Linked DNA regions of Diceros bicornis minor. The protein of the gene in region 3 interacts with the protein of the main gene of each other region in a pairwise test. Links are inferred from orthologs where the notes say so. Each region holds a gene or a part of one and is shown on either strand. Other genes may lie near its edges. The genes, in order: PTPRD, PTPRS, PPFIA1 and PTPRF.

Region 1 (7,328 bases), on a different chromosome or scaffold from region 3:
ATACTGCCTTGCACAGCACTTATAAAGCTAGTTTAATCACACCATCAATCTATGACTATACTTTCCCTAAAGTAATTCTGCTTCATTTATCTTTTAACCCTACATTACACAAATAACATCCTTATCAGTCCAATAAAGAAAAGTTATTAATGTTCCTATCTGTTTATCATTGACATACACTGAGAAACTGGGATCACATATGAATTTGCACAAACACCTCTTCTATGTTTCACACTCCATATGAAAAATCATCCTTACACCACCATAGTTTCAGAGCAGCTCTAAATAATGTTCTTGTAAGACGCTTCAATCAATGTCTATACTAACATCAGAGCATGAGTTAATGGGTTAAAAAGGACAAAATAAAAACTTAGGGGACTGCCTACTTGAATTTTTTTTAAATGTCTCTCTAGGAAGGGTTTGCATATGCCATACAAGGATGTCTCCTGGATATAAGAACAGTTATACAGGCCCCTAGTGGCTTAGCAAATAGCAGCAGATGAGGGGATTCCGATTCTTAGTTCTCACTTTGAGATATTCTAGCTTTAAATGAATGCCAACCTTAAAAGGCAAATCAAATCACTGTATTTAATACTTAAAGTAGTTTCATGGTTATCGACTGAAATACATATATATTAAAATAGATCACTGCATTTCATTACTTTAGTAACTACAACTGCACTGGTCCGCAAAGAATTTGTGTTATATAACCTCCACAATAAAATATTTAATTCATCCACCTCTTTACATGTCATTACAAAAGTAATATATTACTCATATATATTAAAACGTCTTCGAGAGACACTTTTCCTCTTTGAATCTCATTCCTATTACACTATTATTACTGAAGGCTTTATGAACAGATTATTTCTATGCAAAGTGCTCGCTATTTAAAATGAACTATAGATACAAAAAGAATGCCACTTTTACAATAGTAGAAATCTAAATGTATTTCCTAACAACAGCCAGTGATAAAACTCACATTGGGGTGAATCTATTTTAAAAGATCTACAATTAACAACACCCCTTAATCCTCAACTCTTTGCTGTCTTTCCTTTACAAAAGAAAATTCCAGGCAGGCACATTTACAGCTTTTAGCAATTTTTAACTGGACACAATCTGACAGCTGAATTCATGAAACTGACCAGGTTGTCAATTTCACACTTTGAAAGTACAATAATAGCTGATAGCATGAGGGTGAATTTAAGAAATCTGTCACAGAACTGCTAGCTCCATTGAAAAGCAAAGTACAGTACATAATTATGGGAGGTGGGAGGTAGGGAAATTTTCTTTCTATTGTCCATTTAGGACATCTGTTTCAAGAATTCGGACATCAAGCCCTGAAAATTTATTCTCTCTTTACTATTTCAATAAAATAATATCCATCTGTGGCATATAACTGAATATGTTTTCAAAATAAGAGTAATATCTACTAGGCATTGTCCTGGATATCATCATATTACCGATATTACATAATTTTTAAGTTGGTATCATCTAAACATTCCTTTAAATCAGAATATTTCAAGTTTTGGTACATCACCCCGCGTTTACTCAAGTTGAGTAGTGGGTGTGTACACTTTGAAACACAGATGGAATAGCCAAAATGGTTAGAACTGTCTACAGTTGGACTAACTCCCCATGTGTGCTACAGGATGGCTGGAAAGAGCACACCAAAGAGAAAGGTTCCCATTTGTAGCTCTGGAAGTCCAACAGCAAATCTATCTGAAGTCACAAGCAGTTACCAGTCTCTGAGAGGCTCAAAATGTGTTCCCTACGCTCTAAGTCCTGGCACTGTGTCTGTGGGCACGTAAAAGGAAAGAAGAAAAAAAAACAACTTTAAGAGAAAATACAGGGAGAGCGATCCCTCAGGAATCTTCCCGGGGTGCTTCCTCTAGATTGGTCTGGGGGATCACTCTAAGAATTTTAGAAAACAGAGGAGACATTTGGCAAGTCGTGTACTGGGAGGCGAGCTGGAAACAATGCAAGTGGATTGTGATATTCCGGGTTTTGGAGAATGGAACTACTATTCAGAACCCTGGAACACCCAATTAATGAAAGCCAAGCTCACAATTAGGGTTCAAGAATTTTTTAAAAGCATAAGAAAACTGACTTCATTTGTTAATGCTTCTAAATGCAAATCAACCTCACAGATAAACAAGGCAAGTTTTCTACATGCCTATATAAAAACTACAATAAATCGATAGAAAAGCAAAGAACCTTTGGTTTACTAGTGGCTTTCCTTTTAAATTGTTTCCTACAACTTGGGCTTTTCATTGTAAATTCTGCGTTCCCTTCCCTACGGGATGAGTGTGTAGGAACAGCAGATTCCCGTAGCAGAACTACGAGCTCTGATTCTGCCATGGAAAGGTCTCCAAAACAATCCCCCTCCTCTATGGCAGCCGCGTAGACTTGATCCCTGCTGTTTCTCCTTCTCCCCACTAGTTCAGAGGAAAGAAAGAAAAAGAAATCGCCCCCTCACCACAACCAGCCCTCCTTAAACAGTGATCACTGCCTCTTAAAAAAATATATGCAGTGGCAGAATCCCTGGGTAGGGTCGGATTGCCCCACCGCTCCACATTTCCCCCAATATACGCCCACCCCAGGAGGAGAGAGCGAGGGTCGCACAAATACACATATCCAAACACCCTCTTTCTCCAGAATTGCCACTCTCCCTGGTCCGAAGCTTTAAGTGAGAAGCGACCCGCGCAGTGGAGGACCTCTGCCCAAGGAGCTTCAGAGAGGACAACTGTGTGCGCTCCGGTGCCGGGGCGCTGGGCTCGCGGACGCGGGAGCGCGTTGCTCCGGCCCGAGAGGCGCGGGCTGCCGGAGCCGGGCTCAGGGAAAGCCCCAGGCGCGGAGAGGGGAGGACACAGGGGGGCGGACCGGGTCAGCTCGGGGACTTACCTGGTCATGTTGGCTCCGGGCAGCCGCCGCCACCGCCTCCCGCGCCGCCACCAGCACTTTCCTCCAGCGCCTTCGCGCCCCGCCACGGCCGCGCAGCCCGCGCCTGCCCCAGCCGCCGCCTCCGGGCGGCCAATTTAATCCCGCGGAGCTGCGGCCGCCGCCGCCGAAGTCCCCTTGGTCGCTGCCGCCGCCCGGCCCTCGTGCGGCCAGCCCAGTCCACAGCGAGGAAGTGGAGGAGAGTCAGCGAGTGAGTCCAAAAACCCGAAATCCAGCATCCAAAGGAGCGCGTCCCCCCGCCCTCCCTCCACCCCTACCCCCTTCTCCTCCTCCTCCTCCGCCTCCTCCTCCTCGTCTTCCCGGGCCGTCCTCCTGGCCCTTCTGAGCCCGCGGCGTCCGCGGCGGTTTCTCCTCCTCCCGTTCCTCCTGCTCGCCCAGCGCTCGCTTCCCCGGCTGCCGCCGCCGCTGTGTGTCTCCTCTCCCTCCTCCTCCTGCTGCTCTGCCTCCTCCCGCTCCTCGATGCTCCGCCGCTCGCGGCTGGGGGGTCCTGGGCCGCGTCTCCTCTCCTGCCTCCGCCTCGCCTCTTTCCTCCTTCCTGCTGCTGCTGCTTTTAAAGAGGATTCTTTGGCCACAAATAGCAACTCGGCTGCCCCCCTCAGCGCCTCCCTCCCCTTCGTCTCTTCTTCCCCCCAAAAGTGAAGCGCACGCGAGAGGTAACCAGAAACTGAGGCCGGCGGGGGAAGAGGGGAGGCGGAGGAGAGGGGGCGAGGCGACGGTTGGAGACCGGCCCGAGAGGAGTCGAGGGCCAGGACGTGGGATGGCCAGTCCAGCCCAGTCCTTGGGCCTGGCGTGAACCTGGTGGTTACGGTTGGAGGCGAGGTGGTTTGGTGGGGAAATTAAATGAAAAAGCTCGGGAAAGTGATTGGAAAAGCTTCTCTCTTTGTTTCCTTTCTGGGTGATTTCTAAAATCCTCGTAACGTGCTGGGGATCCCACGGAATCGCGGTGCCCCAGCGCTAGAGGATTGTGTGCGCGCGTTGCCAGCGCCGGAGTGGGAGTGTGGGCGCGCCGGGGCGCGGGGAGAGCCAGGCCCGCGGCGCCCGCTGGCGAATCGCTGAATCTGGACCACTGACCCGCTGAAAGGGCCGGAGAGCTGGACGAAGGAGGGGCAGGCAGGAGAGCTGGGCGAAGGAGGCGCACCACACACACACACACACACACACACACACACACACACACACACACACACACTCTCTCTCTCTCTCACAGAGGAGGGGGCGGGGTGACGTCACTCTCCAGCATTCATCCACTAGGCCAGAAAAGACCCCTTCTAACAAATTCACTCATCTGCTAAGAGATGCACACCCGGGCGCTTCCTGCTCTGCATCCCCGCGCACGGGAGAAAAAAATGCTGCTCGCGCCCCATTCCAAGCAGTTATGATAACATAAAGAGCGCGCCTTGATGAGACAGTTTGTGTCCGCCCCAGTTCACCTTGGCAGCCTCATTCTGGGATGCTTGTAGGATCCACTTTGGAGTCAGAGAAGAAGAAAGGGAAATATCGAATTAATCAGTGTAATAACTTGTTTTGCTTCCATGCCACTTGCTTTTATGATGTTGGAAATGCAGTGTTCCCCCACTTCTCTGAAGGACACCATAAAACCCTCTCCCTAGACATGCGCTCAGTTGTTGAGCTACACAAGCTTCATCCACAGAACCCTTCATCCACAGCAGACACTGTGTGGATTGTTAGCTAAGAGGCGAATTTCAACCTTCTTCACTCCTCCTAGGAGTGGAAGAAGTCAGCGGCTGGAAGCCACCATTGGCAATTGGCCTATCAAAATTTTTTTTTGAAACTTGGTCAGAAAGGTTAAATAAAGGCAGGGCCTCCAGCCACCTCTCTTGCTCATTCTGTGTTCAGGCCAGCACATACACACAATACTTATTCTTGCAGGCCCAAGGCTGTCTTTGAAAGAGCAAAGGTAAGCAGACCCCCTTAGATTCAGCCTAATGATCCCGCATCCTGACTGTTGTTTCAAGCTGCCCGTTTGTTCCCACCATCTGCATGCTGTGCTCCTGAAAGGCACTGAAGGATTGGTCAGTAATCCTCTGCCCCCTGTGTGCTCCAAAAAGAAGTCATGTATTTTTGAAAGGAGTCTTGCTAAATGAAGTTTAGTTTTCCAGCAATTTGAGGGGGGGGGGAGGATCATCTTGGCATGACTCTTCCTTGTTCTTTTTTTATGGTTAGGCTTACAGTGAAAATCAAGAAGAAATCTATTCCTGTGCGAGCCCCCAGAGCCAGGTTTACCCTCCAGTCTTTCTGATGACACAAGGAACTGAAAGGCTGAGCAGGTATGGTGGATTCCTCCTCCCTGTGCCCTAAGGATGGATCCAAAAATCTGAGCCTCCATAGGTGATTCTCACTCAAGGTCTAAACTCTGAATTGGCTTTCTCATTGCCACCTTCTCCCCCATCAACTGAGTCTCATTTTCCTCTTGCAAAGTTGGATGTTAGAGGAACAGACAGAAAGTTTTTAAAACCCTAATATTCCTCTGCTGTTGTCTTTGGTGGAGAGACACACATCCCTCATTTAAGAAGATCTGACCAGATCTGACCTTATTTAAGAAGATCCCAGTAGGGAAGTGTGACTGCTATCTGGGAGCATCGTTGAGGAAATATCAACCTGCCCCACTGGCAGCAAGTTAGCTAGAGAATTTAGCAGTGATCATTCCCAAGGTGAGCAACAAGCAGTGGAAATCAGAGGAGACGGAGGACAGTATAAGTAAATGACAGAAGCCCAAGGACCCAACATGACATCATGAGGCCCTAGACGTTCCTGTCCCACCACAACCAAACATCTTGGAGAAAGAAGTAGCAGTCGAGGAGGTGACTAGAGAGTCTGAGCTATTATTGTACAAAAGAGATGGCATTATTCAGGGTGATGCTGTGGAGGAAGAGGAGATAAAGCAAACAAAGGAGACAGACTTTCTCTGCACATCTGAGTAGTGGTGGGAGTAGTGTTCTGCAGCCCAATATACACATATTAATGCTTTCAGAGCAGATTTATGACAAACCAGCGCCCCGTGGCACTCTAATACAACCTCTGGGATAGTTTGCCATTTGGAGATTTGAAGTCAAAGAACATCAGAGGGAGGCTATCCCAGATCTAGCTGGCTATCAACAATTAGGAGTTGAAATCACCTAATTTTATAGGTAAGGAAACTGAGACCCTGAGAGTTTAAGGTGACCCAATTATTTGGTGGCAGAAGCAGAACAAAAATCCAGATATGATCTAGTCTCCTCCTCCCCCCAGCTATTCCTAATTACCTCCCAGTTCTGGATCAAAGAAGCTGTTTTTCCAACTTATCGATGAGCAATAAATATAGAATATTGTAAAACTCTACTTCCATGAAGGAAAATTAAGCAATGGAACTAGACTTTTTCTTACTTCCTCTCCAGCTCTGACATCTGTAATGAATAGCACACAGGAGCTTTGCTATAGCACAACCCTCTCTAGTGCATAATTCAGCATCTGATGAGTATGAGTCTATTTTGGATCCCATCCAAGGGAGTTAGTTCCTAGAAGTACTCGAAAGATTTTACTCTCATCTATCATGAAGCATCCTAAAAAGAAGACTAAAAATAATCATAACAATAATAGTAATCACTTGTTACACTTGTATTACGTACTAAACATCAGGCTATCTCACTGTGTTTCAAAAGGCACATCATGACCTTTTGTGGGTCACGAACAAATCTTTAAGCAAAAGAAATGAAAGTAGTATGCATGTAGTAAAGGAAAGAAGAGTGCATTATAGGTACTAAGTAGTTTTGTAAAACTTATGTTTCCATCATGTGGCTAGTGACTAAAAGAAAAAGTTTCAAAGATGCTGCCTCACCTCGAATCTTAACAACTGCCCTGCTAGTTAAGTATTATTAGCCCTGTTGTTTAAGTGAGGAAACGGGAACAGAGAGGGTAAGTAATCTGACCAAGCTGACCTAGCTAGCAATTGGCCAAGCTAGGATTTCGAACTTACATCTGTTTGACTTCAAATCTTGTGTTTTTACTTCTATTCTGATTATAAATTATTATTTAGGGAATTGAATAATTGTTGCTGATCGTATTTTCTTTGTGAGGGCTATAGTGGTTTGTATTAAATCCAGTTAGAATGGAGAAATCACAACCTAGGTTCAAGTGGCATACTCTGAAGATAGTGAATAGTGTCATAAAGCACTGAAATCAATATCTGAGACCTCTTCCTATAGGTGCTAGCTGTGCCTAAAATACTTCATTAATTTGCTGCTACACGCATAAATGGAATAATAAGGAATGGTTTTAATCCTCAAATAACTTAAATATTAATCTCTACAAGAGTTAAAATGTTTATTTCAGAGAGTTTTTCAAATTTAATTCATACAGCGTTTCTCCAT
Region 2 (7,432 bases), on a different chromosome or scaffold from region 3:
TAATCTTTATATAGGGTGTGAGGTAGGGGTCCGACTTCATTCTTTTGCATATGGATATGCAATTTTCCCAGCACCACTTATTGAAAAGACCGTTCTTTCCTCCACTGAATTGACAATCTTGTTGAAAATCAACTGACCATAGATGTGAGGATTTATTCCCGACTCTCAATTCTATTCCATTGATCTCGAAGTCTATTCTTATGCCAGTACCACATTGTCTTGACGACTGTAGCTTTGTAATAAGTTTTGAAATCAAGGAGTGTGAGCCCCCAAACTTTGTTCTTTTTCAAGATTGTTTTGGCTATTCTGGGTCCCTTGAATTCCCATCTGGATTTTAGGATCAGCTTGTCAATTTCTGCAAAAAAGACAATTAGGATTTTGATAAGAATGGGGTTGAATCCATAGATCAATTTGGAGAAGATTACCATCTTAACAATATTAAATCTTCCAATCCATGAACATGGGATATCTTTCCATTTATTTAGGTCTTCTTTAATTTCTCTCAATGAGGTTTTGTTGTTTTTATGGTATAAGTCTTGCATTTCTTTCGGTAAATGTATTCCTAAGCATTTTATTCTTTTCGATCAATTGCAAATGGAATTGGTTTCTGAATTCCATTTTGTTTGTTTATTGCCACTGCTTCGGAAACACAATAGACTTGTGTATTGATCTTGTATGCTGCAGCCTTGCTGAACTTGTTTACTAATTTTAATAGTTTTTTAGAGGATTCCTTGGCATTTTCAATCTACGAGATGATGTCACGTGCAAACAGAGAGAGTTTTACTTCTTCCTTTCCAATCTGCATGCCTTTTATTTCATTTTCTTGCCTGATTACCTGGCGATCACCTCCAAAACAATTTCAAATAGGAACGATGACAGTCCTTTTCTTGATCTTAGGGGGACAAGGTCCAGTCTTTCACCATTAAACATGATGTTACCTGTAGATATTCTTTATCAGGTCAAGGATATGCCCTTTTATGTCTATTTGTTGAGTGTTTTTATCACGAAGGGCCGTTGAATCTTGTGAAATGCCCCAGCTGGGGTTTGAACTCATGTCTCTCCGACTCCAGAGCCCCAGCACTTACCTGATGCACTAAATCAGTGGACCCCCAAAGGAGCCCCACGTGGAACCCAGTAAAGAGCGGGTGTTCAGCAAATGGGTGTTCCCGTCTGCCCCTTTTCTCTTGGGCATTCGAAGTAAACTTGCAGACAGAGGGAGAGAGAGAGAGAGCATGCAATGCTTAATTTGAAGGAATGTGCAATGATGGTGGAATCTCTTGCACAGAGCAAAGTCGTAGGGGAGATGTCTTCCAAGGATTCAAGGCTGGGTTCTGTGCAGACAATCCTGCATTTGGCGTGAGGAGTCCTGTTTATATATTGTGACAGGCAGCTGATGGTTCCCCTGGAATTGTCTCAACGAAAACACAATGGAGCTAATTACCAGGTTCTGGGAGACGCTGGGGCGGAGGCTGGGCTGGGAGGGAGGGAGGAGGAGGCTGGGAGGGTGAGGGAGTCCCTCCACCCCCCCAGCAGAAGATGGAAACGTTCTTTGACTGAACTTTTCACCCAACAAACAATGAGTCACACCCACAGCTTGCCGCAAAAGAGACCCAGAGCCCACCACGCCCCACCTCCCACTTCTAGTGTTTTGCACAGTGTGGATCTTGGACGTTTAATCCATGCCCCCAGGGAGGACATTCTCTCCTTGGTTCTCTTCAAGTTTTGGCTTGCAGGAAGTCTCGGTTTGGTGTTACTGAATCCTTAACACCTTTCTGACACTTGCCAATCTTCCAGGGCTGGCCAGAGGCTGCAACAATATCAGACCAGAATGTTCTGTCCTCCTGGTATTGATTTTTATGGTCACCCGGCTAGCCATCCTGCTTTTCCCATTTACGGTGGCCACAAACTATCCCTTCTTGAGTCTATATTCAGTGCCAAGCGCTTGGCATGACATAACTCATTTTACCCTCCCAACGACCTCAGGAGATAGAGACCATTACTATCCGCCATTTACAGATGGGCAAATGGAAGCACAGATAAAATGGGGAGACAGACAGAAAACGAACTGGCCAAAATATAAAATCATTCCAACTTGTAATAAATAATATTGTACTGAGATGAAGATGAACTTCAGCAGGATGGTTAGAGAGAATCTCTCAGAGATCTGAAGGATGAGGGGAATACAGACATGGGAAGAGTAGGAGGAACAGCATCCTAGGCAAAAGGAACAGCCAGTGCAAAGGCCCTGAGGCAGACTGTGCCTGATGTTTGCAAGGAACAGCGAAGAGGCCGGTGTGAGTGGAGTGGAGTGAGCAAGGGGGACAGCTCGAAGAGGTGAGGGCAGGGAGGTGATGGAGGCTGGTCATGCAGGACCTTGAGGGCAGTAAGGAGGAGCTGGGTTTTTACCCAGAGTGAGAGATTGTCTATGTCCTCCGTTGGACTAGTAACTCCTGGAGGACAGGAATTTTTTAGGCTATTTTGTCTACTTCCGTGTCCCAGCCCTTAAAACAGCCTGGCACACAGATGGATGGCCTGAATGGATGGGGTCCCCGGGCACACGGCTGTACTGTGTTTCATATGTGTTTTCCTTTGCAGCTCGCAAAAACCCTCAGAGGTAGATGTGGTTGTCTCCTTTCTGCAGATGGGAACAGGGAGGATCAGAGTTACTTGTTCCAGGTCCCCCTAATAGGTGGCAGGGCTGGGGCCCCTCCAGAGCCAGCAGGCTCATTTCACTCTGCCTCCATCGAGGATGCAAGGCTTGAGCACCTACTGTGTAACGAGAAACCAGGCTGAGCATTTATGCACAGACCATCTCGTTTGACCTTTCAAGAAGGGGTTGTGTCCTCATTGCTCGGATAAGAAAGCCAAGACCAGATTGTCAACGGCTAGGCCGGGGTCACTCAGCCAGGAAGGAGGACAAAATAGACTCTGCAAACCTGGCCACTGCACTGGCCGCTGGGAAACTCCGAGCTTAATTTAGGCTCCTTGTTTAATTATTCATCCTCTCCTCTCTCTTTTCCTATTTATGACTTCCGCCTTCTCATTTTGTTCCCCGGTTAATGCCTTTTGTTTATATCTGCATCTTTGGCCTGGAATGAATGAATCAACGATTCCTCCTCACGATTTTGGAGGAAAAAACCCCAAATTCTAAACTTGAGTCCCTTTGTGGGCACAAGGCCCTCTCCAAATGCGTACCTGGAAGAAATAAAACGCTTTCAACACGTTCAGAACACAAAGACCCGATGGGCACTTTGGTTTGGCGTCTTTGAGCCCACCCACGTCCCATGGTCATCTTCCCCTTTTATTTTTGTCTTTTTTTTCTCATTATCCCATTTTCAAACACCAACTACAGGCCAGGCAGGTGCATTATCACAATTCATCCTTACACTCCCCTTGTGAGCAGGGCCTACCTCTCCCCATTTCACAGACGTGAAACTGAGACCCAGATAAGCAAACCCATTTGGCAGGTGGGAAAACCGAGGCTCAGGGCCCCCCCACAGCAAGTCAGTGTCTGATCTGGGATTCCCACGTGGTTTGTCCTGACTCCAGGGCAGTAGAGGATGGTAATTAGGTGGGGTGTTTATAAAGTGCTTACTCTGCAGGAAAGGCTCCCTCATCCATCCCTTCAATCGTTCAACCAACACACCGGGCCCCATGGAGTCACACCCTCGTGTGACCAGAATAAAAACAGGCTGATGGGATAGAGAATGGAGAGTGGGGTGGCTCAGGCGGCCGTGATCAAGGAGGGCTTCTCCCAGGAGCAGTGTTTGAGCAGAAACCGGAAAGATAAGGGAAAGATCTGGGGGGAAGACGATTCCAGGCGATGGAACAGCACTGAGTCGGGAGTGAGCAGGTTGGAGGAACTCTAAGGGGCGGGCTAGGCTGAAGCATAGAGACCCGGGGGCAGAGTGATGGGTGCGAACGCGGACAGATGGGGCTGGATTTTATTCCAAGGGCACCAGGGAGCCACGGCCGAGTTTAGAGCGGAGCATGGGAAGCACCACGGCCTTGGTGCCACGCGCCTCGGGTCTTGCGCGCGCAACCGCGGCCGCCAGGGTCCCCCGCCGCCCACGTGTCCCGCGAAGCCGCGCGCCCCACGTGCTCCCGCGGCCCTTTAAACGCCCCCGGGCCACGTGACCGCGGCGCGGCGCGCGATTGGCCGGGGGGCGTGGCGGCGGCGCGGCTGCGCAGTGACGCGCGCCGGCCGGCGCCGCCCCGGCCCCGCCCCCGGCCGGCGGCGCTGGCGGAGGGGTGACGTCACCGGCTGGGGGGGCGCGCGAGCCGCAGTGAGTGTCCCCGCCGCCCGCCCGGCAGCCCGGCCGGCGCGCGCACGCCGCGGGCGCTCGGGCTCCGCGCGGATCCCATGCCACGGCCGGGATGTGACGCGGGGCAGAGCCGGGGAGCCCAGCCCAGCCCGCCTGCAGGTACGGGGGGCAGCGAGCACCCGGATTCGCGGGAAGGAAAAGGCGATGCGGGCGAGCCGCCGGGGGGGCGCGGAGCGGCCGAGTGGGCAGCGCGCCGGCTTTGTGCGGGGAGGCTGCACGGCCATTGTGCGCCCAGGATGCTCCGCCGCAGCCGGCCGGCGCCCGGACAGTGCCCCCGGGGCTGCGCCCGGGCGCGCGGGGCCGCGGGGAGGGCTCGGCGGGCGGCGCGGGGGGCCGCAGCGGCCGGGGGGGCTGCACGCGCCCGGAGCGCGGCGCTGGAAGCTGCCCAGCGCCGCCGGCTGCACCACCCCGGGCTGCGGGCGGGGCGCAGGCGCGTGTGCCGGCCGGGGTCCCCTCTGCCTCCGAGACCCAGGGGGCGCTGTGCCGGGGGCGCCCCGGAGTGGAGACCAGCCCGGGACGGGCGGCTCGGTGCAGCGAGGGGGATCGGCCGGTGCGCCCAGGGCGGCTGTCCAGTCCCCCTCCCCTGGAGACCCCCGACGCGACGCCGTGTCCCCCCAGCGCCCTCCCGATCTCATCCATCCTTTGGGGGCGGGGGAGCGCCCCTCCGGCGCCCTGGCCTTGCCCCACCCTGCTGGGGCCCCGGCACCCCTTCCTAGCCCCCCAGGCGGGGCGAGGCGCAGCCCCCAGCCCCTGGGACTCCGGCGGCCGGGCGCGCGCGTCGGGCACCCGACCTCCCCTCGGCGCTGGGGACCCCCTGGGGATCCCGGCAGAGGGGAAGCCGCCCCCGGAGCCGCCAGCCCCGCGGGTTCCGCGCGCCCCGGGAGCCCCCTCGGGGGGCTGGGAGAGGGGGAGGGTCGGTGACGTCATCCCGGGGGCGGAGCCGTCGGAACCGGGTTGAAGGGGGCGCCTGGGGGGGGCGTGCCCTGAAGGGAGCCCCCCGAGTTAGAGTGCCCGTGCCCGGGGCACGAGGGTTTCGGCCGGGCTGCGGCCAAGTTCACTGCTCCTTGTGGAAATCTCGCCCAAATTTAGGATCACCCCCTTGGTGCCCCCCGCCGCAAATCTGGACACTTCCCCACCACGAAAACCCCCTAAATCGGAGAGCTGCCTTTCAGCCGCTTTCTCTCCAAAATTCTCAATACGGGGAACCCCCTGCAAACTGGAATCTTTTTGTTCAGCCACACCCCCCCAAATCTGGAACCTCCTCCGTAGTGACCCTTCCCCCCCATTTCAGATTCTCCTCTAGGAACCCCGTAAATATGCAGATTTTGAGAACGTCCCTTCCCCTGCAACCCTTCCTCAAATTTAGCCACCCCCTAGAGATCTCCTCCCCCCATTCACAAGCCTCCCAGCGCCTCCATGTGGGGGGCACTCTCGTCCCCCTCTTGGGCTCAGCTGGGATTCCCCTGTCCCCCCATCTCAATCTCGGGGAGTCCCCATTCTGAGCACGGGGCCCTTCTGCCTCCGGACAGACCACTGCAAAACCAGCCTGGCCAACCCGGCTGGTGAAGGGGGGTGTCTGAGGTCCAGACTGGGCATTGGGACTCTGAGAAGCAGAGATAAAGCTGGAGGGTCCCCGAGGGTCTCCAGGATAGGGACCCACCCGCTCTGGGCCCCCAACAGCCTCCACCTGGACTCTGGCTGCTGGGGTTCTGGCCTTCTCTCATTGTCACCCATCGCTGCCGTCTCTGGGGTGCAGGGGGCGAGGACCGCTTTTGTTCGGGGCGCTCTGCCCTCCCCTCGGAGCTGTCTTCTCCCTGCGAGGAGACAGCCAGCCCGCGTCTCTACTCCTGATACCAGCTGCTGCCGAGGGAGCTTTTATTAATGGCCGAGGGACTCGGTGGATTCTGCCATTTGCATAGCTCCCCTCCCCCTCCCAGGGTCCCCTTCCTTTGTGCCCTCTCCCCCTGCCAATCCCGCCCGCCTTCTGTCCCTCAGCTCTTTTCTTCCTCTGCCAGCTGATACTTTGGCTGCAGAAGGCAGGCAGCTGGGGCTGGGGGCGGCTGCTTCCCGCCCCCACATCCCAGACCCCACCAACTCCGGTCTGGGTATCTCCAGCTGGACCCCCGTGTCCCCGCACCATGCCCTCCGCTGGGCATCTCTTGCCGCCTGCTGTCTGCCCGTTTCTCCGATCTTCCTCTCCAGACAGCTCCTTCCTGCCCTGTCCCCGGGGCCCGGGGGGGCACCTTCACCATGACGGTGCACTTCTGCCTGGGGCCCTGGCCCCCCCAGCCCCCTGGGGGCTGCCACCCGCTGTCGTGGATCGCCCAGAGAGTTGGTATAATTGGGCTCAGGGAAACAAAACGTCGCGGGAGACCTGGCCTGCCTGGTGAGCTCATGTGCTTTTCTATTCCTGCCACCCCGGCCGATGACATCGACCCCCCAGGGGGTGACAGGGGCGGTGCTGGCATGTCAGAGTGGCCTTCCTGAGAGGCGATGGCCTGGTCCACTCCCCACCCCCTCCGGGAGGTGGGGGAGGGGTCATTCTGGTGTGGCGGGGTGTGGCACTGGAGGGCACTGCTAGGGTGGCGGGCTGGGCTCTCGGGGATCCCTCCTCCCCCAGGGTCCCCTGCAGCCCCTGAGCTGGGCGTGTGGTGGGTGCAGAGAGAGGGGGGCACTGAGAGCTGGCCCCTGCCTGCTGCCCGCACAGAGATCATACTTGTGTTTCTATCTCCTTCGAGCATCTTCCTTTTTACCCGCTTCCCCGGGGATTCCGAGCATCTTCTCGTGTCCGTGGGCCCCCCCCCCGGAGACACGAGGCGTTTTTCTCCCAGCACTGGCTCTGGGCCGAGGTGTCAGGAGTGGGTGGAGGGGGAGAAGCTTCCCGGCTGTCCTTCGGTGGTGGCGTCTGGGTGGACAATTCTGGAGCCATCACCATCCACCCATTTTCTTCTTCATCGGGTGGCGCAGAGCATGGGGCTCTGCCCGGCCTTCCCCAGACCTGGGGCCAGTCCAAGAGACACATCCACCTCCGCTCTGGCCGTGGCTTTCTGGGGGGGTGCCTCAGTTTCCCCTCCCGCCTCCAGATTCGCACTGAACTGTATTTCACA
Region 3 (7,643 bases):
TTTCATTTATATGGCCAAGAACAGGGGAAAGTAATCTATAGGGAAAAGTCAAGACCACGGTTAGCTTTGGGGGACAATTCTTGGGAGTAGGGAGGAGGGGGCTTCTGGGAAGCTTGGTAACATTTCATGTCATAATCTAGGCAGTGGTTACGAGTGTGTTCACTTAGCGACTCAATGAAATGTACACTCATGACTGTGAAATTTTCTGATGTGTTATAGCTAAGTTTTGTATAAGCACAGTATGACTGGTCTACATAATGGGCCAGGAGAACAAATGCAGTCAGTTCACCATATGCCTATCTGGTCACAATATCAGCCACCAAACCTGAGACAAATGCCAGGAAAGGGAAGGGTCCCACAAAGCGCTTACTTACTGGTTCCTGTGTTGCTGAAACGCTGGACGTGGTGCTCAGGTGAACTGCCGACATCATCACATTCTCCACTCAACGAGGCATCTCCAGCTACAACCCTGAGCAGTCGCTAGAAACAAATCACTGAGCAACTGTCTCCTCCCGCTGGTGGGACAGCCTCCACTGCTTGAGACCGTACACACCAAACTGGCCCTTCCCTGCTCTGTCCCTTGAGCTCATTCCCTCAAAAAACTACCTTATCAAATATGGAAGAATTGATATACACTTCAGTGTATGTACCTCAAATTACAGTAAAACAAACACAGTTACAAAAACAAACAAAACTACTGAAAAGATTTACGAATACATTAAAATCCTGGTAAAACATAATTTGGCCAATCCTTTTAAGCTTGTGGTAATAAAATCTGACCTAAACAAACTTGGTAATTTATAAGATTTGAACGAGAAAAAACGTAATGATTCTCTATCTCAACAAAAAAGGAACATTATAGCACTAATATCAAATTATTGTTGCCAAAAAGGAAATCCAAATGTTTGGCTTATCAATCTTTCAGGAGAACTGACTAAAGCCAAGAAACGCATTAAGGCTGGTAATTATTCATTTCCTAATTCACCACCGCAGACCCATCAGGAGAGTACAAGCAGACGCTCATTCAGGCCACCCGAAAGCACCATAAAGGCCCCCAGACAGCTCAGAGGCACCCCAAAACCCACGTATCTCCCACATGCCCTGTGCCGGTACCTTCCACTTCTCTAGGTGACACTTTCTCCCTTCACCCACCATTAAACCCTCACTCAGCTCCAGAAGAAAAGGCTTTGACACACTGGTCCAAATGCAACATACCCAGACTAGCAACCTCAGTGTGACTTTAAGCTTCGTAACTCACACCTGCCACGGAGACAGTTCCAAAGGAGTCAATCTCCAGCCTTCCAGCCCCTGAAACAAATCTCATTTAGAAAACACAGGTGTTCTAATAAAGGCAGACTGCAAAAATATTTTCTCTGTGAAATCAATCCTATTTGTCCATTAAATTTCATTATGTAATTGGAAATACAGGATAAACCCGTGGGAAATACACATTTCACAAGAAGTGGCTTAAGCCAATAGATCGGAAGGCACCACAGAGCTTGGTTGCCCCATGGCCCTATTTCAAAAACTTTGGAGCCCTCTCTTGAATCTAGGCAGTTCCTTCTGCTGCCCCGAAGGAAGGAACAAGAGTTATGAGGTATTTTCACATGACTTTAGAGCACCACAGAGTCTGTTCTCCCTAAGACGTTTAATCCTCCGGAACTTTATCTATACGTGGCTTACAAATATCAGAACCACCATTTCACAAATGGTTACGCAAAATACTCATCTAAGATAGTAATACCATAGAAGAGGACATCATACAACAACATTTAGTGGAAAAACATCTGTCAAGTTCCAGGTGAAAAGCATCCATACCTGTGGAAGTGCAGTATTGAGCTGTCTCTGCAAGGAGTCTCTTTCATGGCCAACCTCGTGTAATTTCCCCTGGGTTAATGCCAGCGTCTCTTGAGTCTCTCTCAGTGTGTCAAGAAGACGGTCCCTCTCTTCTAGCATGGACACCATCAACTGTTCAAAATGTGAGTCTGCGTCTGGCTGCGAAGGGGAGCTGGACCCATGGCTCCCACTTCCTCCTGGGGGGCCTTCTGCTTCACTGATGGTTGGCATCACCTCGCACATCATCTTGAAATAAAAGACCCAAACTACAGTCATTAAGTGCAAAGTAAAGTCTCCCACAAATCTGCAACTTTATAGCTATCTGCAGCTAATCCATGAACGGCTGTCAGCCTCACTCTTTTCAGATCTGACTGTTAAGCTCTGTATATAAGTGCGCTGGGAACAGAGACGCATGCAAACCCTGAGTCGGAACACTTGAGATCAAGACACCAACACAGACAACAATCCAGTCATGGGGTCAAGACCAAAGACGACTATGCCTCAGTTAAAGAACAAACCCTGTGGCATTTTGTTTGCACGGGTGTACTTTCTAGTTGTTGAAAAGAAGTGTGCTTCTGTAACCTATTCTTGTTTTTCTATTTCCTGGTGGGGGAGAGGAAGTCAAAACAGACGCTACCCAATCGTTTTTCAGGAAAAGCACAGAAAGAGCACACAGCCAGTCAAACTGACAAGTACAGAATCTGTCGGGCATCTTACAGGAATGTGTGCAGTCAGCTCCTGGGAAGGACTGACGGCTCCCGGAATTCTTGGGCTGGATTTGGTGAGCGCTAAAAGGAACTGGATTCGTCAAGGGCTGGGAGAGGTGTTTCTCAACGGCTGCAAGGGTTGGCCAGTCAACCTGACTTACGTAAGGTAACAGCCCCCAGAAAAAAAAAAAAAAATTCCACAATGGAAATACCGCAGGTCAATAACAGCCGTGGACGGCTGGGAAGGTAGGAAAAGTGAAAGGTGAGATTACGAGAGGCTATTAAGTGACTCAAACATAACGACGGAGCGAGGGGAAGCGGGGCCGGTCCAGAAGCTGCCGGCGGGGCTCGGGGCTCGGCGACCCCCGAGAGAGGATGCCCCAGACCGCACACCGGACAGTGACAACGACCTCGACCCCACTCGCATCCGAAGCAGGTGCTGCAGAGCCACGGACACCGGGGCTTCTTGCGGCCACAGGTCCTCGCCCCCTGCGCCCAGGGCTGGGTCACCGAGAGCTGGGGTCACCTAGCGCTGGGGTCAGGGCAGAGGGCGGCGCGAGGCCCCGAGAGCCCGTGGCTGGGGGCGCGTCCGCCGGGGGTCCCGCCGGGGGCGCCGCGGGCCTCGCCCCCGCCCCCGCGCCCGGAGCGCCCCGGCCCCCCGGGGCTGACAGGAATCGCCGCGCGGCCGCCGAGGGACGGGCCGGGCCCCGCTCCGCCCGCGCCGGCCTCAGTCTCCCGCTCCCTTACCTTGCTCGCCGGCGGGAGCGGGCGAGGAGGCTCCGCCGCGGCTCGCGGGCGGCTGCGCGCTCCGGGCGAGCTCGGGGCCCGACGAAGGCGGCCCGCGCCGGCGCCCGCCGCCCGCCCCGCGCCCGCGCCCGCGGCCCCCGGTCACTAAGGCCGGCCCGCGGCCGGACACTGGCGGAGCGCAGGAGGAGCGGGCCCGGCTGCGCGGCGCCGGCGTCAACGTGCCCGACGTCGGGCGCGTCGGCGCAGCGTCAGCACCGAGCGCCGCCGGCCCGCCCCGCCCCCCGCCCCGGGAGAGCGCCGCGGCGGCCGAGTGCGCAAGCGCCGCCTCCTAAGGTGGGGCGGGCTGCGATTGGCTGGGCGCGGTCGGAGCCCCGCCCCAAGGCCCCGCCCACATGGGGGCTCCTCGGCTGAGCCGCGGCTCCGGCCTCTGGTCCTCACGCCCCGCAGCATCTTCCACCTCGGGGGCTGCCCCCAGGTCTCTTCCTACAGCCACGGGGACTCCGAAGGCCGTTATCGAGCGTGCATCCAGACACTTCCCAAATGTCACGTCCACACGCCTTCCTGGAGAGCGCGCCCAGGTGCAGCTCACCTGCTCGCAGCCGGGGGGAGCCCGCGGCGTCGCCTCTCCTCGGAACCGACCCTCACAGGACTCGGAAGGACGCGGCTTCTACGCAAGGCCCATTGACCGAACTTCACCTGCTGTACTCGGGGAGGCAGAGATGGGCGTTTGATGTCGAAGCTCCTGGGCGCTGGGTCGAGAATGCAGGCTTTGGGGCCAGCACACCTGGTTCAACTCCCAGCAGATATTTATCCCTGCAGCGTGGGCCTGGGCAACCCAGGGGAACCCGTGTGGGATCAAGTGCCCCGTCTGTAGGATGGGAAGAGGAGACAGATCTACCCCAGGGCTGTTATAGGAATAGAACTTATAAAGAGAGACTCGTTGAGAACCTGGTTGGGGCGCTCTGCGAATGGTGGTCATTTTTATCCTTCTCAAACGTTGTTATCCTTCTTATTCATAGTTTATCCTTACTCAGACTTTTTAAAGCACCTGCTACCTGCTGTCTGCCAATTCCTGTGCTAGATCTTGTAGATACAGAGATTACGAAATCCACTTTTGGGCCGACCCGTGGCTTGGCGGTTGTGTGCGTGCGCTCCGCTGCTGGTGGCCCGGATTCGGATCCAGGGCGCGCACTGGCGCACCGCTTCTCGGGCCATGCTGGGGCCACGTCGCACATACAGCAACTGGAAGGATGTGCAACTATGACGTACAACTATCTACTGGGGCTTTGGGGAAATAAAAGGAGGAGGACTGGCAATAGATGTTAGCTCAGAGCCGGTCTTCCTCAGCAAAAAGAGGACGATTAGCATGGATGTTAGCTCAGGGCTGATCTTCCTCACACACACACACAAAAAATCCATTTTTAATAAATTAAAGAAGATGCTCTCTGCTCAGGATTTGACTTCTGGAGCACAAACTCCTCATACACCGAAAACGTGAGGGCATCGTTGTCAGGCGCCATGGCCACCGTCTGGCTGTCGGTGGTGAGGCAGCCAGGTGCCCGTGAACTCGCCAAGTCTAAGTAAAGCCTGCATGGAGGGGTGGGTGAATCCTTCCCAGGCAATTCCTTCATTCCCCATTGTCAGCTCACCAAGAACAAGTGCAACCTCTGATTGGCTTTCTTCCTTCCCAGGGTCCAGGACCACACCTTCCTTTCATTCATGTATTTGTTCATTCAATAAGTATTTGTTGATTGACTACAAATAAATATAAATTTGCACACCTGAGCCAGGGTCTGGAACAGAAGAAAATTTCCAGCTCTCCTTAAATGTACCAGCTTAATTCATCCAGCCCATATTTACACCACGCTGTCTTCTAAGAAATCGGCACAATACCAAAATTTAGTTCAACAGGGTAGAAGGTTCATTCATTTCGTGAACATTTTTAGAGCACTGTGAGCCAGGCATGGTCTAGGTTTGGGGAACACAGAGCTTTCTAAGACATCACTTCCCCTCAGTTCACAGCCTGGAAGGAAGAAGAGAAACAGTGTTACAATGTCTGTCTTATAAACAGGTGTGACTTGGTGCTGTGGGACCACAGAGGAAGGAGGAACCAACTCTCCAGCTGTCATCCTGGGGGCTTCACAGAGAGGATGACATCTGAGCTGGGTCTCGAAGATGAGCGATTTTCCAAGCATAGAAGGGAGAAGCTCATTTGGTGTAACTCCAGGAATATGAGAATCTCAGATTTCATTCATTTTCATTCCTTCATTTCGTTCCCTCAGATTGCAAAAATCAGCAAGAGGAAAACTGTAAACAACCTAAATGGCCAACAAAAAGAGATTGGTTACATTGTTGCACTTCCAAATGACAGAAAGCTCGGTGACACAGTCATATTTTATCTAATGACACACAAGATGCTCTATCCCGATTGTAGTGGTAGTTACAAGACCATATGTGTTTGTCAAAATCACAGAACTGTACACTAACATGTAAGGTATCCCCAATTTTTAAAAATGGGAAAAAAACTTAAAAAAAAATCAAGTTATAAACAAGTATGTACAGTGTGAGCCCAAATTCAAAAAAAAAAAAACAGTCTGTGTTTAGATGAAGAATCTATTGGGTAAAATTTATTATCTTGTATCTGAAAACTTCTAGAATGTTATTAAAGTGATAAAATTGTAATAAAATGAATTTTACGTGAAATATTTTCGAAAAGTGAAATTAAATTTTAAGTCTCAGGTTTGTCAAAGAAAAACGTATGTCTGTGTGAAAATATTGTTACTGTATTCAATTAGGTTTTTACATTTCTTTCTATATACATATACATATATATTCCTGGAAAGCGATACATCAGAATGTTGGCAGTGGTTGTCTTTGAGGGGGACTGTGGGTAGTTTTCGTTTCCTTCTTTGTGATAGTTTGTACTTGGCGGATATTTTGTCTTGAATGTGCATTATTTTTATCATTAGGGGGAGAAAAACCCCACAAATGTTACTCTAACAAAACCTAGGCAAGAACGAACCATGGAGAATTGCTTTCAGGAAGCTAAAATGACTTTTCGATGCAGTTATCTATACCATCCAACCTAAATTTTTCCCAGAAGTATTTATCTGAAACACATTTCAGAGATTGTCTAGCATCCTTGTAAGCCACAGTCAGGAAAACCATGAACATAGAAAATGTTTTCACTCCGATTCTTCTGTTAAGGTTTTGATAAAGAAAATAAGGTAAAACGGAAGGGGGCGGAGTGGAGAGTTCATTACTCTCTCCAGGGGTGTGTTTTTCCCAAATGTGCCGCCAGCCTGGGCTCTCTGGGTGAAGTGGTTAGTTGTCAACCTTGAGCATGACCGGGCCGCCTCTCCTTTCTAGAAATGTAAGCAGCCCAGGAAGAGGGTTCCTGCGAGAACAGAGTGTAGCCCATCCTGTCCTAGAGATCTGAGTGTGTCCCAAATCTAGAATATGTAAAGCCGCCTAATGAATGGTGGTGTGACAATACAGTCAGGGGAAGTTCTGAGCTGGGGGTGGGTGGTGGAAGATGTGGCCCTCCCTTTAAGAGGAGGAAACTGAAGCCCAGAGATGCGAAAATGCTTCGCCTCCTGGCGCCCAGCTCATTTGGGGCAGAGCTGGGACTGGAGCCTTGAGTGAACCAGGGGCTACTGATTCCAGATCTAGTTGCCACACTATTGCGACTGAGGAGTGGTCTCTTTAAGGGACAACTAAGAATAAGCATGTTATCAGTGGGTCTCCAGTGCTGCCCCAGTAGTCCGATCCCCTGCGGAAGAGATGGGGCCCTGGCTTCATTATCTTGGTGACTTTAGCCATAGAGTCTGTACTTGAGTTACCTTTGTGTCCCTGCTAAGATGGAGGAGGGAAAACGAGGAGAAAGGGAAAGAAATTTTACTTATTTGTCTCATTTAATTCTTAAAATACTTCCCCACGTGGCTGTTCCGGTATCCTTCGCATTTTGCAGATGAGGAAACTGAGGTCTGAGTGGCTGCTGAACAGGTGAGATCATCAGCCAGAGTGTTCCGGTTTCCATGACAGTTCAATTTCTCACGGTCAACAAATTATCTAAAGTTTTGGTCCAACGATGAGCCTGTCGGGAGTTTGGCTGGTGCATCTCAGTTCCCGAGAGCACGGACACCTCTGGGTGAAGTGATGATAAGAAAATCACATTTGGGGCCGGCCCCGTGGCTTAGCGGTTAAGTGTGCGCGCTCTGTGACGCACCGCTTCTCCGGCCATGCTGAGGCCGAGTCCCACATACAGCAACTAGAAAGATGTGCAACTACAACATACAACTATCTACTGGGGCTTTGGGGAGAAAAAAGAGGAGGATTGGCAATAGATGTTAG
Region 4 (8,270 bases), on a different chromosome or scaffold from region 3:
CGAGAAGGAGCAGGCGTAACTCCCCAAGCACAGCCCTTCCACATCCGCAGCCCAGGGCACAGGCCAGACACTCACATCACACCCCATTCCCACTCAGCTCACCCCCCACAGTCCACATCCACTCACCTTCTTCCTGCCCTCACACTTGCACGCTTGGGCCTGCATGGCAGCGGAGCTCAGAAATCTGTGCTTGCATGCGCATGTGCCACTTCTGTGTGCTCGCGTGTCCTCTCACAGCACCCCTGTGCACAGCCCGGGGAGGGGTGTGTGCACACTCACAGTCTCATGCATTCTCGTGCACACACTTCCTTGTACCTTTTTGCTTGCTCAGTTTCCCCCACATCATCTGAAATGTGTCTGTGGTTGTATTTTCTTTTCCACTCCCTCTTCTCTCTTTCTTTCCTCTAACAAGGAAATTGTTTTAATATAATTCCTCCCTTCCTTCCTGTCTTCCTCCTGCAGCTCCCGGCCTCCCGGCTCGCCAGCCATGTGCACACTGAGGGTGGGGGTAGTGTCCGGGCTTCCGAGAGAGGAGGCTGGATTTGGGTGCTGGTGAAGAAGTTTGGGCTGGGTCTGGGGTACCTGCAGTAAGAGGAGACTGGCGAAAAGTCTTCTTGGGAATTGTATTGATATGCAACAAAATGCTGGCCCTGGCAGTTCGTGCTTCCTCCACTCTCTCCATTCAGCCCTAAGTGTGGGAGTCCAGTCTGGCAGGCCCTCAGTCAGGGGGAGACCTCCTCCATAGAGGCTGTGACACACACTACAGCGCCTCCACTTTCCAGCTTGAGACCTTGAGGAGATGCCTTCCTCCCGAGTCCCAGTTTTACCCCCTGTAAAATGGGATGGCTAATCCAGCCCTGGTCAGGTGCTGAGGCTGTTGTGAGAATCCAGAGGAACTGTGTGTGGTGCAGCAGCAGCAGCCACTTCCCGTGTGACTGACACTGCTGTTCTTGAGCCAAGCTTGCAGCCAGGGCCCTGCCCTTGAGAAGCTCATGGTCCCTAGGGGAACAGTTGCATCATGGGAACGCAGAGGAACTCAGTAACCTCTTATTGATTGGCGACTGTGTGCCAGACTCTGGACTAGGCACTCTCAGCCAGGCTGCCTTGCTTCCTGTGGGAATAACAGCTGTGTAGAAGAGGTGGCCCATCCCTTAGGAGCTGCTGAGGTTGAGTTCAGCATCAGCTTACCTAAAGCGGTGGCAATTCTGAGCTGAGGTTAGGTTGGGGGAGTTCAAAATGAGGCAGAGGGGAGTTCAGAGGTCAAGGTGAGATGTTTCCCAGAGAAGACCAAGAAGAGGCTATCTGAATTGGGTTTTGAGGGATGAGTAGGAGTTTTCCAGTTGAAGGAAGGGCACTCCAGGCAGGAAAAAAAAACAACATAAGACTCAGAGGTCTTGTCACTTGTAGGGGTATTCAGAGATGTAGCAGATCACAGAGGGCCTTAAATGCCCTGTTAAGTAGCTATGATTTTACTCTGAGAACACAGAAGGGAGATACCAAAGGATTAAAGCTTGGATAGGGAGTTTGGAATGTGCTATGATCGAATTTATGTTTCTGGAGGAGGATTCCGTGACTATGGGAAGTGGATGGAGACAGGACGCCCAGTGAGGAGAAGGGTGCAGGTAAGTCAGGTGAGAGATGATGGTAGCATGGATAGGGCGGTGGCATTGAGCCATTCAGAAGGCACATTATTAGGATAGGATGACTTATTGGATGTAGGGGTGAGGAAGAGGAAGGGGTCCAGGTTCCTGGGAGTGACTGGATGGGGCCTTCACTGAGCTGGGAACCTGCAGAGTGGAGGTGGCTTGGGGAGGGGCGGCAGATGGTGATCTCATGGTTGGACCTGTCGCCTGTGAGGTGCTTGGGGCATTTGAGGTCGAGGGTAGGGAGGGAATCCAGGAGGGGGTTGGGTGTGAGGGTCTGGAGTTTGGGAGAGCAGTCTGGGCCAGAGAAAGGAGGGCGCATCATATGAGAGAGTGTGGAGCTGTGTTCCTCAGGAGCAGGCAGCCTCAGTGGTTAAGAGTGCAGACTCTGGTTTCAGACTGCTGGAGTTGAGCTCCTCTTAATAGCAGTGTGAGCTTGAGCAAGTTGCTTAACATCTCTGAGTCAGTTTTCTCATTTGTCAAGTGGGTACAATAAAATTCCATGCCTCATAGGGTTCTTATGAGGGTCAAAGTTGATATGGAGAAAGTGCTTAGAGCAGGGCATGTCGTAAGCAGTGTTCTCCCATTGTTGCAGTTGTTATTGTAATCGTCATCAACGGGTGGTGCACGCCCACCCCCGTCAGAATCACGGGATGGCCACCTACTGCACTTCTGAGCTGAGGTTAGCCCTTTGGGGGAGCTGGGGAAAGGGAGTACACAGCCCTCCTCATCATTTACAGGATTGTGTGTGTTGCTCGGGTGTATCTGACCTTCAGCTGGGCTGGTGTGAGAAAACTAGACCCCATGTTGGGAGAGAGTAGAAGGGGATTCTGAGAAGGGGCAGCCTCAGTGGGTTCAGTGCCCCATCCCCACCCCCTGCCGGGGCCCTGGGCATCTAGTGAGGTTCTTTCCTCCCAAGTCCGCCTCTGAGCTCCGGAGTCACCTGGACCTCCAGCTCTGAGAACAGCTTCTCGACATGTTTTAGCTGCTGCTTCTGGGGACTGTTCCTGGCGCAACCATAGGGGCTGCCTGGGGGCTGCTCCAGAGGAATGTGGGTGGTTCTCTAGTGTTCAACTTGCTACAGCTTCCAGGCCTGGCAGATGGCAGAGAGCCCTTCGAGGGGCGAGCCCCGGGTTGGTGCCGAGGCCCTCTTACCTGATCTAGGTTATGGCTGCCGACCTTACCCCGTCTGAGGCCTCCCTGGGTGCCAACAGGTCATTCCTAGCTTGGGTCCAGTACCCATCAGGCCCTTTCCGAGTAGGTTTCTACTTGGTCTTCTGGATGTATCCGGCAGTCCAGAGTGGTTCTGGGTGCTGCTGCTGCTGAATCTGAGAGCTGATTCTCATTGCCTGGCTAGGCTGTTTGGGGACCAGTCTGCTCCAGGACTGATGTGGTTGCAGGTGCTGGACCAGCTCTTTCTGTGTGCTTTCGGATCTTTCCAAGTGCAAGGTGCGGTGCCTGCTTTATCTCTGACCCGCCTCCAGGCCACTTGGGCACACACCTCTTTCCATTGTGGCTCCTGCTCAGTGTAGGTCCAGGCACCAGGCCCAGTGCTGTGAGTGTGGCCTTGGGCGTGGCAGTAGTGCTGGCTAGTGTGGGGGACCCTCCCCTTTCTGCGCCTTGGACTCTGCTCCTCTGCCCCTGGGTCCCGAGCAAGTGGAGCCAACAGTCTCACATCTGAGGCCCCACAGGCGTCCCAAGACAAACGGGCCTTTGAGTTTGGGACACGGAAGCTGGTTTGTCTGGCCAGACCTGCCCGGCAGCCTGTGTGCTGGGAGCAGCGGCCACAGGGAACTTGATGGAGAAACTCAGTGGGCTGGGGGAGAGAAGCGTGCCACCATCCTAAGGCCCAGGACATTGGTTCTAGGTGGGGGGCAGGCGAGCGAGGGAGGGGGGAGAGGGTGTGAGCTCCAGGGTCAGCGTGGATGGTCCCGGGTTGGGGAGGCCCGTCTTGGTCAGTCAGGGTGGGCCTTCCGTCCCCTTCAGTGAGGACGTCCCGTGCATTGGCAGAGGCGGTCAGTCTCTGGTGAGGATGGTTCCGGGTGCGGGAGGCTGGCCTCGGGTCAGTGAGGGCGCTCCCTGGCCCGGGTTCCTGGGTGTCTGCTTTGGGGGGAGCCCGGGTGGCAGAGCAGTGTGGGGCGGGGATGGGGTGCGTGTGGGGGCGTGAGGCCGAGGAGAAGCCCACTGCGAGGCGCCTCCTGCGTCCAAGTTGCTGAGCTGCTGAGCTGCGGTGAGGTGGTGAGGAGACGGTGTGGGCGTGTCCCACCCTGCCCCCACCCAGGACGGTGCCTACGCTGGTGGGGCTCAGAAATGGTTCTAGAAGGAAGGGGCCGGGCTCTGTCGCTGTGTGTGTGCCAGCGGAGGAGACATCCAGGGGTACACCTTCATTTTAAAAATTACAGAGAAGCAGGAAGTCAAAAATAAATACTGCTTTTGAAGCTTCTTTGGAGGCTGCATGTATGCTGGTGAGGTTCTTCCAGGCTGGGCTGTTTTCCATGAACTCATTCACGCATTCATTCACTCATTCAGCATATCTTGACGGAGCACCTACTATGTGCCGGCTCGCTGCTGGGTCCTGGGGATGCAGAGCTGAGCCAGGGACACTGAGCTTATGGTCATGACTCAGCAACTGTATAAATAAATAAATCATGGCATTTGTGGTCACTGCTCCAAGGCAAAGTCCAGGCGTGTAGTCTGGGACATCATGGAAGGCTTCCCTGAGCAAGTGCCACTGGCTCTGAGATCTGAGGGCTATTGGCTAGAAGAACTTGGGTAGTGGGTTCCAGGCAGTGGCATACAGCTGGGCAGATTGGAAGAACTGTGGCACATTTGAGCATCAGAAGAGGAAGTTCCTGCAGTTAGCTGGCGGGAGGGAGCATGGGGGCTGCAGAGGTGGGCAGAGCCGTCTGCCCCACTCCAGGGGTATGAGGAGGAGTTTGGACACAAGTTTTACCGCTGAGGTCAGGAACTTGGTCTGTGTTGTTCCGGCTATATGCTGGGTGTCTGGAAGAAAGCCCGGCACATAGTAGGTACTCAGGAGTACCAGTGAGTGAGTGAGGGAAGAGATGGGCGGCTCTTCAAGAAGTGAAGTGGCTCTTACACCAGGCTCTGTCTGCTTTTCCATTCACCGTGTTTCTGTAGAAAAGACTGTTCCTGTCGACTGTAGGTTGTGATAGAAGGAGCAAGGTACCCACAGGATCTGGGGTACATCCCTCGTCTCTTTGAGGTCCACTTCTCCTCCTTTCTTTCTTTCTTTTTACTAAATGGAGATCATCCTGCGTGAACAGTTCTGTAACGTGCTTTTTTTGTCCTGCATAAACAGCATATTTTGAATGTCTTTCTGTGTCAGTACATACTCTGCTGTGACGAAATTCTTGGTGTTTTCCTCTCTCTCCAGGAAGGAGCAGAGGCCCTGGTGCCCAGCCCTCAGTGCTGGTTGTCCAAGAGTGACTGGTGTGAGCAAGCAAAGACCTGGTGAGTGTGCCCCAAAGTGTGCTAGGGGCAGGGGTGCAGAGGGGTCCCGTGGGCCAAGCTGAGCAGCTTGTATTTTGACCCCGGCTGGTGGAGAGCCATGGGAGGCTTGTCACTAGGGGCATGACGTGATCCTGTGTGCATGCAGCTGAGAGATGATGGAGGCCTAGACCAGGAAGGTGGTGATGGAGGTGGAGAGAAGGGATTCGAGTGCTATTTAGGGAGGTGGAGTAGACAGGACACGGTGAAGGATTGAATGTGGGGCGTGAGGGAGGGGAGGTGTCAAGGATGGTGCCTGGGTTTCTGGCCGGAATGGATGATGGCGGTGGGTGGGGAATGATATCTAGCTCGTCAGCTGCTGTAGGTGTGAAATAGGCTTCCGGGTGACATCCTGGGACTTACACCAGGATCTGTCTGCTTTTCCATTCACCGTGTTTCTGTAGAAAAGACTTCCCATCAACTGTAGGTTGTGGTAGAAGGAGCAGGGTACCCACAGGATCTAGGGCACATCCATCCTTGTCTCTTTGAGGTCCACTTCTCCTTTCTTTCTTTCTGCTAGAAGCACAAGCGAGTAGGTTGGAGTTGCAGGGAACGAGGTTGGAGAGTTAGGCTGGAATCAGAGCATGATGGGCCTTGGATGTCAGGCTGAAGACTCTAGACTTTTTCCTGAGGGTGATATGGAGGCATTGAAGGTGCTTAAACAGAGGAGCAACATCCATGTGTTCACATATCCATTTGCCCATCCATTCATCTATTCAGGAAACATTATCTTCATGTCCACTGTGGAATAGGTAGCAAACAAAGTGTGCTTGAGGGACGTGATCAAATTTGCCTTTTTGTAGCTAAACGGGGGCATTGGTTTGTGTGTAGAATGGATTGGAGGGAGGGACCAGAGGCAAGAAGCCCACTAAAGAGGTGGGTGTGATGAAGTCTTACTAACATGGTGGTGGTTGGGACGGAAGAGACAGGGCAGATTCAGACTTACTGACCAGTTGGGTGTGTGGGATGAGGAAAAGGGAGAATTTGAGGAGGACTGGTTGGCGTGGGTGACCAGGTCGATGGTGGTGCTGTCACTGAGATGGGGACCTGGAGGAGGGGCAGCACTGGGGTGGATGAGTTCTGGTTGGGCCATCCTCTGAAGGATCCCTGAGGGCAGAGCCCATGACCGTCTTGTTCATCGCCTTGCCTCCTGGCTCAGGGCCCAGGAGGGCTCACTGAACAGTTCTGCACGGACAGCTGAATGGAGAGGGCCGTGGAAGAGATGGGTCTGGCCTAGGCAGGTGAAGGAAATACGCATATATTGGGTATCTGCTAGTGGCCAGACCCCGTGCGTGGTGAGGTGGGCATTGGCGTTATTTAGAAGGTGCAGCAGGAAGGGCCGTGTCACAGGTTGGAAAGGTCAGATGGGGCGAGTGGGTGTGGGAATACCATGTGTCCCTTCACCTGTCCATCCTCAGAGGATGGGTCTGACCTACCTGGGAGCCCAGTCTCACCAGAAAAGGTGTCTGAAAGTGGAGCCCTCTGTCCTCTGGAGAGGCCACTTGCTGATGGTGTGTCTCACGGGGTGGGGTGAGCTGTGCCGTGAAGCCCAGCTTCTGGAGGCAAGGCGGACTTGGACGGGGAGGGGAAGATGCTCTGAGATCCCGAGGCCCAGGGACAGCCAGGCTGAGGCCTCCTTGGGGACAGGGCTCAGGGTGCTCATAGGGGACTGGGTGCTGGGGCAGGGGCCAGGGCAGGCCCTAGGTCACATCAGCAAAAGATCTTGCTGTCTGCCTCAGGGTTTCTCAACCTCAGTCCTGTTGACATTTTGTAGCAGATGATCCTTTTTTGTGGGGGGCTGGCCTGTTATTATAGCATGTCTGGCAGCGTCACTTGTTTCTTCCCAGTAGAGGCCACTAGCACCTGCCCCTGCCCCTGCCCTTGATAAATGTCTCCAGACATTTCCTAATGTCCCACGGGGGGAAGAATCACCCTGGATTGAGACCCACTGCTCTACACCACCTCTTGCTGCCTTCACTATGCTATGCAAATCTGGAAAACTGGGGAGGGTCACTCAGAGAAGGTTCATAGTGATGGCCCACTGTGCTGAGTTCTGAGGAGCAAGCAGGTGGCTGGGGGTGGGAGAAAGGCACTCTTCCCAACAGAGAAGAGCAAGTACAGAGGTCTGGGTCAGCCACGCTGGTGAGCATTAACCCGAGGGAGGAAGGAGGCTGGAGGGCTGGGGGCAGAGGGGTTCCAGCTGTGGGAAGGTGTCACCGCTGGTCCCCTTGGTCTTCTGCCCCTGGAGCTATGCCTCTGCTGGACCTTGTGCCACCCCCAGAGACTCTGGGACGCTCCTCCTAATCTCCCCCTCCACTCCCAGGGGAGACTGAGAAGCTGAGGGCTGTGAGAGGGCGGGGGCCCAGCAGCGGGAGGGCAGGCGGCTCCCAGACTCTGGCCCATGGGCTGGGAGAGGGAAGGCAGCGGCTGCCGGCCACCTCCCGGGGCTGGGGTCACGGCTGAGCCTCTGATTTATTCCTGTCATAATCTGGCGGTTGGTTTGGTGAGAGTTGGAAACATGTTGGTTTTCCCTTCCCAAGTGTAACAAGGCCTCTTTCCGCCTCCGCGGCTGCTGCTGCAGTGCCACGCGGTGAACTGTCCAGGACGTGACAAAAGGGCTCGGTTAGCCGCTCACCGGTTAGAAGAGGAATGGCTCCTGCTCTCCTTGCCCTCGGGCTCCTCTTGCCCAAGCGCTGGCCTCTCCTCTTGGCCAGTCGCTCCGTGGGGCCCTGGATACCCCTCTTTCTGCTGATGTCCATTCTGGGACCCCAGCCTCCTGGGAGCCAGGGTCCTGGCCTGGGGAGAAGAGGGAGAGGAGGCTGTAGGAACAGGTGGTATTTGGAGACTAATTAATATTTATGAATAATGACACGTGCCCAAGGGAAACAAATTAATCTGTGTTTGCATATTCATGAGGAGGACTCAGAACGATCCCAGCTGTTCTTCAGCCGGGGATACCCCCCATCTCTGGCGTCACACCGTCTCTCCAGGCCCCCCACTGAGGCTGGCAGGGGTGGTGAGGTTTGGGCCGCATGGAGGTGACATGGCCTCTGTGTAACATGCATTTCCATGACGTTTGTGTTTGAATCCTGGGGCTTGGTGTGGTTTCTGCTCCTT

What was found.
Region 1: the proteins of PPFIA1 (region 3) and PTPRD interact in a two-hybrid assay, tested with the Homo sapiens proteins (2 studies listed by BioGRID). The link is inferred for Diceros bicornis minor from reciprocal best matches to the Homo sapiens genes PPFIA1 and PTPRD.
Region 2: the proteins of PPFIA1 (region 3) and PTPRS interact in a two-hybrid assay, tested with the Homo sapiens proteins (2 studies listed by BioGRID). The link is inferred for Diceros bicornis minor from reciprocal best matches to the Homo sapiens genes PPFIA1 and PTPRS.
Region 4: the proteins of PPFIA1 (region 3) and PTPRF interact in a two-hybrid assay, tested with the Homo sapiens proteins (2 studies listed by BioGRID). The link is inferred for Diceros bicornis minor from reciprocal best matches to the Homo sapiens genes PPFIA1 and PTPRF.

Annotation. Positions count from the first base shown.
Region 1 is NC_080761.1:32,419,837-32,427,164, forward strand, and holds the start of PTPRD (receptor-type tyrosine-protein phosphatase delta), read right to left. Parts: upstream 3,150-7,328; 5' UTR 2,905-3,149; intron 1-2,904.
Region 2 is NW_026691615.1:2,739,748-2,747,179, forward strand, and holds the start of PTPRS (receptor-type tyrosine-protein phosphatase S), read left to right. Parts: upstream 1-4,324; 5' UTR 4,325-4,424; intron 4,425-7,432. UniProt on the Homo sapiens protein: Cell surface receptor that binds to glycosaminoglycans, including chondroitin sulfate proteoglycans and heparan sulfate proteoglycan.
Region 3 is NC_080770.1:3,999,045-4,006,687, forward strand, and holds the start of PPFIA1 (liprin-alpha-1), read right to left. Parts: upstream 3,376-7,643; 5' UTR 3,291-3,375; intron 2,964-3,290; exon of another isoform or gene 2,554-2,963; intron 2,083-2,553; coding exon 1,819-2,082; intron 1-1,818. UniProt on the Homo sapiens protein: May regulate the disassembly of focal adhesions. May localize receptor-like tyrosine phosphatases type 2A at specific sites on the plasma membrane, possibly regulating their interaction with the extracellular environment and their association with substrates.
Region 4 is NC_080752.1:6,461,266-6,469,535, forward strand, and holds the start of PTPRF (receptor-type tyrosine-protein phosphatase F), read left to right. Parts: upstream 1-5,039; 5' UTR 5,040-5,117; intron 5,118-8,270. UniProt on the Homo sapiens protein: Possible cell adhesion receptor. It possesses an intrinsic protein tyrosine phosphatase activity (PTPase) and dephosphorylates EPHA2 regulating its activity.